Coturnix japonica: one gene and its partner. The protein of the gene in region 2 purifies or fractionates together with the protein of the main gene of each other region. This does not show direct contact. Links are inferred from orthologs where the notes say so. Each region holds a gene or a part of one and is shown on either strand. Other genes may lie near its edges.

Evidence for each region. The genes of interacting proteins can lie anywhere in the genome.
Region 1: the proteins of FLCN (region 2) and FNIP2 purify together in Homo sapiens (affinity purification with western blotting; 5 studies listed by BioGRID and IntAct, with this or other methods). This does not show direct contact. The link is inferred for Coturnix japonica from reciprocal best matches to the Homo sapiens genes FLCN and FNIP2.

What each region holds. Positions count from the first base shown.
Region 1 is NC_029519.1:19,400,294-19,403,944, reverse strand, and holds part of FNIP2 (folliculin-interacting protein 2), read right to left. Parts: intron 3,645-3,651; coding exon 3,544-3,644; intron 3,386-3,543; coding exon 3,296-3,385; intron 2,113-3,295; coding exon 2,041-2,112; intron 1,406-2,040; coding exon 1,276-1,405; intron 1-1,275.
Region 2 is NC_029529.1:4,761,799-4,765,449, forward strand, and holds part of FLCN (folliculin), read right to left. Parts: intron 3,252-3,651; coding exon 3,091-3,251; intron 2,517-3,090; coding exon 2,425-2,516; intron 1,668-2,424; coding exon 1,477-1,667; intron 352-1,476; coding exon 238-351; intron 1-237. UniProt on the Homo sapiens protein: Multi-functional protein, involved in both the cellular response to amino acid availability and in the regulation of glycolysis.

The DNA.
Region 1 (3,651 bases), on a different chromosome or scaffold from region 2:
CCAGTAGTGAATAAGAAGCCCATTAGGAATGGGGTAGCATAGTGAATGAGAAGCCCACTTTCCTTTAAAAAAAAAATCTTTTTCTGACACTTCAACAGCATGCTCTTACTTGAAAATGTTAAATTCAATTGTTTCAAAGAGGGAATAATCTAATTCCCCCTCAATGTTTTAACTTCTTTTGCATATACACATAGCCTTATTGCTCTAGGAAACTAGACTAAGGAGCATTTCCATTTACTGAAAGCAAAATGTTTGTTAGCTCATTCTCAGCTTCAAGAGTGATTTAGGAAAGCATGACCACTACATGAGCACAATTGCACAATTAACATTACAAATGTTTCTTCAAGAACATCCAAGGAAAAGGTTGTAAAAAAAAGTCAATTCTGAACTAGGACATATTTCAAAGTGGGCTTTTCAAAAAGTATGTGTGTTTATTTTTGACTGACCACAATTCAACCAGCAGCTTTTAAGATTCTCCTAACCAAAGACAGCAAAGAGAGACAAGCCCAAATGTAGAAACTGCCTGTAATTCTCCTTTAACTCAACATTGTCTCTGGGTGCAGGTAGATGAGCACATATGAGCAGATAATCAAGACCCATTCACTATTTTGCAGCTAACAAGACAAGAATGTGCTTATTAGCTACAAGAGATCTGCTGCATTCCATGCTTTGTTGTGTCACTCAGCTGAAAAAACTAATAAAATTCCAAAACAAAAGCCAGTCTTTTTTTAATCACAGAATGAACAGGGTTGGAAGGGACCTCAAGGATCATGTAGTTCCAACCCCCCTGCCTAGCAGGGCCACCAAACATACACAAATCACAGCTCTTTTCCTCCCCCTGGTTTGGCAGAAGTCACAAGAATATCCTGTACCAGACAAAAGAGCCATCTTGGGCTATTACTCCAAGATTTCCATAAATGCCCAATAGTCAGACTTCATCATAATATAACATAATTAAGGCAGTGGTGTTGTTACAGACTTTCATCTCAGTTGATTGCTCCTTCAGAAACAGTTTACTTTTCAGAATGAGGTCTTCTTGACACAGACTATCCATTCATTAAAAATGTGTATAATCCAATTCAGGCCCTGTAGCTCACATTCAACTAAGATATTTCTTCATATAGGCTACCTTACATAAAAAGGACAAGTAAGTCAGAATGAATTGCCAATATTTTTTAAACCACAATTTCTCATTTTAAAGAGAAGAGGTCTGAGCTCTATTTAGCTAAAATTATTGCCAAGCAGCTGCAGTAAGCAGGAAGGTGTTACACTCACCACCTTGGAATAATTCCATTCTCTAAACTGGTTGTCTGACTTCGGAGCCAACGACGTTGATAGCTGCTAGAAGATGATGATGAAGAGCTCGGAGATGGAAAAGGAGTAACCAGGAGACTGCTCAAAGATGCTGTCAAAAAAAAAGAAGGAAAAAAACATGCTGAATTTTACTGAGTGTCAGTTAAATACTTTTCTTAATACACTGCCTGGGAACAAATTCACACAAATATTGTTCTCGTTTGCTGATCTCTGTGATACAGCTAGAATAGTTTTCATTTAACTCACTGCAAAAAGAAATGCACAACTAATTTAAACAACTATCCTCATCTTAGGACATGGCTACTTACAGGGTCAGAGATCTTCCTGGCTAGAACATGCTAAAACCAGTCTTATTCTCAGTAAAAGCATTCTGAGACAGGAGGTGCTTGCACTCCAGTCAGACTAGATAGACCTCAGTTTCCCAGCCTCCTCTTTTTACTCAGTGCTAATTTCTCTTCAATTCCCTTGCTACAGTAGAAGTTCCAGCCTGTTCTTTCTAGGGCTTACAAATTAGTAAAAAGCCAGAAAGTTATAGCTGTAAAATAATAATAACAATAATAATGAATACTCTTGCATAAAGGCAGAGGAAAGCAGGAAGAAAACTCAATAGATGCAAAACAAAAATTGGATTTCAGTTCTTAAGGTGTTGGATCACCTGGAATTTAGACAAGTCAAAGAACTGTAATGCAATTACAAAAGTAGGCAAACAAGACAAACATCAGATACCTGACCGAGCAATGCCGCTGTCTCTGTCCTCATTTTGTCCTCTGCTGGGCATATCGACAGGTGTACTATGTGCTAAAACAAACAGATCAATAGAAAAAAAATGTTACCTAATTTGTTGTATTATCTGTCAGCATTTTAAAAAATGTTAAAGATTAAAGGTCATAAAATACTGAAGTTACATCCTGAAATGTTACTTCAAATAAACAGTATGTTGGGAGTGGAGGCAGTAGCAAACTCCATGCTCCATAATCATTTTATTTTACCAGAGGAATTTAGTTACTTACCCAATCTAAAAGTTTCACCAAGAAGCTTGAGAATCTAAATTCTCTTTCACCAAAAATCAGATACACTTTGAAAAAACAGACTAGTGGTACTCTCATCTGTTAATCTTAACATTTGTTTTGTGTTCAAGATTATAATTTTACAGAAGTTAATGTTACAGTGGAATAGCCAGACATGAGGTCCATTAAGCTTCTGATTCACTCTCCAAGCAGTTGATTTATTAACTACAAAGCTTCACAAGTAAGACACATTTGCTTTATGCTGTGCTACATTGAGGTGTTAGTAGTGGAGTCACCAGAATTGTAAAGCATGCAAGATTTGCAAAGGCTGTGAAGAAACGCATTGGCATTTTAGTTCACATTTTTACAATTAACAGAACTAATTAAGCCCAGTATCTACCCACCTGCATGGATCATCATACACCTGTAAAAGGGCACTATGTAAAGAAACTGATATTGCAAAAACCTTAAAGCTCCTGACACTTAGCTCAAGAAGTAATACAGAAAGTCTACTGCCATTTATATATATATATATATATATATACACACACACATACATACACACACACCCCTAAAACATATATTTATTATTAATACATACATATATTTATATTTTAGGAAAGTAGTAAGGCATAAGAAAAAGCAAGACACCTCCACACTAGCAAGAAATCAGCCATAAGGCAGGAAACATAAGTTCTCTAAGAAATGTTAAGGGCTCATTCGTTATTAGACACATTGCTTTAAAGTTCAATACTGGAATTACAAACAAAAGATGAACAAAAAGAAATTTATCCATCAAGTGTCTTTTTTTTTTTTAAGAAAAATTTAGAGTATGAATCCAGATCTCTGCAGTCACCACCTCAGCCCTTTCTATTTCTAGAGAGTGATTATGTATTCTTTGCAAGGATTCAGAAAGAGCAGAATTTGTGTGTGCTTATGGATGGGTCACACTTTGGTTGGCATTCCACACAAACCTGCAAAGAAAGAAGCACTGCGGATGAGCCGGAGGGGACCTCCTTCAGACACACCCTGCAGCAGTTTGCTGCTACACAGCTGTAACACACCTAGGAAACAAAAGCAATGTAGAGAAAACACAATGCAAAGGAAAAATAAAAAAAAAAAGAAAAAGTGATGCACAAGAGGAAAATAAAAAAAAAAAAAGAGACCAACCCTAAATGAACAGATGGTATCACGGTACCAGAAAGAATATGGAAATATTTACCTAAATTACTTCCACTGCGACAGGTACCCAAGCCATTCTGATTAGAGCTCAGCTTTCCAAGGCTGGGATCTTGGTTAATGTATTCAAAGCTATCCTGTAAGCTATAAG
Region 2 (3,651 bases):
TCAGAAGGGAGAGGAGTGATCAGAAATATCTCACTCTGCTTGAAAGAAAGACTATGCAGTTGCCATCTATGGACAACCAAGAAATCCAAAGGTTGGACTTTAATCTCCCCTCAAAATTATGTAATTTAGAACACATCTTCCACAAGTTAACATATTAGAGGCAGGTTATTATGAAAGCTGGACTATTTAAACACATGTAAAAACAAGCATCTGGGAAACAAAGGAAGAAGTCTCTACCCGTAGCACATCAAAAGCAGACTGGACAAGATCCATGTCTCGAGCTTTCCAGATGACCTGGTTCCCCATCAGAACATGCCAAGCCAGCATGCGGAATGCTGATGCCCCAAGAACCTGAAATGAAACCATACTGCATTTGTTATGAAAGTCAGGGAAATGCCCAGTCTGCCCAGTTAAAACACATGCCACACAGGAAAGCATCTAAAACCAGACAGCAGGAATGAACATGAACATTTAGCAACAGTTCAAAACCCAGCACCAAGATTAAGTATTTCTCTGACAGATGCTAAAGGTGTCAGACTTGTGCAAAGTAATTTTCACCACCTCTTACAGCTTCACGAATAAACAGCAGCAAAGTACCACCTTGACAACATGCCCAACCCATGATCTGAGTCAGCATTAAGCACAGTAAGAGAATCTTTCCAATCCTTCAGCTCTCTGGCAGGGTTACACAAATCAGCTGCTTCTTGGCTGAGTTAGTGGGTGGGCAAGATGGATACAGGCCTGTTTGGAATGGGACTGAATGATTTCTATTACGTGGTAACTTTCACCCATTTCTCTGATCTGTGTTATGTTCCTAACAGTGATTCAGGCATGAAAGATGTAACAATATGCTTAGATAGGCCTCTAAAGGTAGCCAGAGGTTGCAATATGGTGTAGTTTAATAGCTTCTAGCATTCCAAATTAGGACAAAGGAGAACAAGTGGCAGATAAAGCAGATCAAGAAGTAGGAGATACTTGTCAAGAGCATCCAGGAAAACAAGCTGGTGTAAAAGAAACGACGGGTCTCCCACACAGAGCCTTCCCCTCAGAGTAACTGGAAGCACTAATGACAAGTTAAATCCACACAGACTGAACCATTTGTTCCCTATTTTTTTTCCCCTTAAGCATTTTTGTTGTAAGCAAACAATACTCAGACCTCTGAATGTGCTGCATAACCTCTGCATTTACTGACATGGCTTTTGGGAAGGACAGAAGTGCAGAACTGGAGAGAAATCACATGATCCCATCCATGTCAGATGACTGGAAGAGGGTCAGGACAAGCAGAGCACAACCTCAGAGAGGGCCAGGATCTCAAATGCCATTAACACTGTTACTAGCTATGTAGGTATTGCCCTGAACAGGAAACAAATGCAAACTGAAGGAAAAAAAAGTATCCTTTTCAAAATACAGTGTCGGAAGAATGAGAATTCATTAGCTCCTGAATTCAGAATCAAAGTAAATGTGCTCCTCTCTTACCTGCCTCATATGCCTGAGAGAGCGGAAGACAGACAACCTTCTGTGAGCCACGTTCCATCTGTTGCAATCTGGCATCAGAGATGTTTCAGGAGAGCATTTAGATAGTTCCTGCCCTTCTGCAGCATCTGGCTGGGAAGAAGGCTTCTCTTCTTCCTCAGATCCATCCCAGCCTTCTGACTCTTCTTTGAGGTCTAGCAAACAAACAGACAAGAGCAACCTGAGTTCTCATTATAATTGCAGCTAAGTCTGGAAATCACCTTGGAAGTGCCTACACAAACTACAGATAACTGTTTTTGGCTGCATGTGGAGAGAAAGTATTTGGAATACAATAACTGAAAACACCAGTGTCACCAGCCTTAAAGTATAACTAAGTTTTGCATCTCAGATATAAAATAATCATTGAAAAGTCAACAAGGAAAGTTCATCTTTTATGGAACAAAACATCACATCCTCCAACCAGCTGTGTGTCCTCTGTTCTTTCTTTAAGGGTCACTGCCACAGCTTTTAGGCAGATTTTGCAGATTCTATTCTAAATGGAGAAATAAAATCACTAAATATAAGAATTTAAGATTCCTTAATTTTAGAAACTTGGTAGGAAAAAAAAAGAGCAAGAAGAAAGCTCCATATTTTGCCTGCAAATTCTTCTGGCTATAGAGATAAACTGGGAAGGCCAACCCAGCCAGAGAACAATAATGACAATGATGCAATGTTCCTACACAAACAATAAACAACATAAGTGTATGCAGAGAGCCTACAATGCCACAGGCATTGATTTCATGTCCCTCGAAGTCACAGTCATATGGGAAAGCACATCAGCTACTGCAGGGCTACCATTAAGGTGGGGTCCAAGAGAGATGGTTGCACTTGCTATGCTGGCAAAAGCACTTGGTGTTTTACCAGCCACAGCGTTCTTAGAGGATCTTCCAGCTCTGGAAACTCTGGCCTCACCTGCAAGTTTTTCCATCTGAACAAGGGTGTCTTCAGTTGGAGCTCCCTCCAGAAGTTTCTCTGTAAGCCGGCTGCCACAAGCTTTCAGAAGCCTGGAGACATTGAAAAACAGGTGGAAGCAGTAAGCAGGCTTAATGAATGCCAAGCAACAAAACAGAGAAAGAAACTTGGTGTAACAAAACATTCAACCATTTACCAGTACGTGTTCCTTATCCACACGCCTACATGTTCCTTTGTCCTAACTACCAGTGTTCTAATTGCTCAGTCACTGCAAGGCCTACCATTTTGCAATTACCTTGTGCAATATGCTTATCCCCCACCCAAGTCACATGCCAGCACTGCATCCCTCTCTGTGGCATCTTTCCAGGGAATTCTGATGACACACTGAGGGGTGGGAGTGTCTTTCCTTGCATTTCTCCTTCCTTTTCCTCGTACTTCAGTTTTCCCATCAATAGTCACATAAGGAGATTTACTTCACTGCAATAAGAACTATTTCTGCCTTAAAGCCATCACGAGGCCTTCCGTGCTCAGCTCCTTCCAATTCAGAGACTTCTTAGCAAAGTCCAGCTTACTACATCAAGAAAAACAACCCAAACATTTCCACCCTTTCAAAATAAGGCAATATTTTCTTTGTGTTCCAGAAGCCAGAAACACAAGTGATATTACCAAGCGAAAGAAGTGTGCAAACATGCCCACAGGTTCTCATCGTTGGTCAGGGATGTTAAGGAACGGGCTGCGTTGCCATTGCGCTGGTGCAGGAAGGGGGTGAATGCTGTGTTCATCCGCTGAGCACGCTGAGGGCACCCAAACTGCTCAGCTTCAAACACCTGCAGCACAGACAGTGGACAGTGTAACAGTCTTATAAAAGGCTGATAGAAAACTAAAATCACCAAAACGCTAAGGAACACCCACAACAGAAAGAGGTGCATCAAACACAGTCATTCAAATACACTAAATAATGAGGGAAGGTAAAATACCTTATTCTTAGATTGATTAACATTATCATTAAGTAAAACATCAGCTCTCAAAACTTTGTCCTTCACTACTTTGGGTACTTAAATTCTAACAGAGCTATTGTGTGGCAGTTTGGAGCCTGAAAGGCATCACAAATGGCTTAAAAGAACAAAGGTGGCCTCTCTCCTATAGACCCAGATACACACAGCCCTTTTACTCCTTGTATCAACCTTAAACTGATTGCAGTGAGCCAGAGCAGCTTTTGGATTAAGA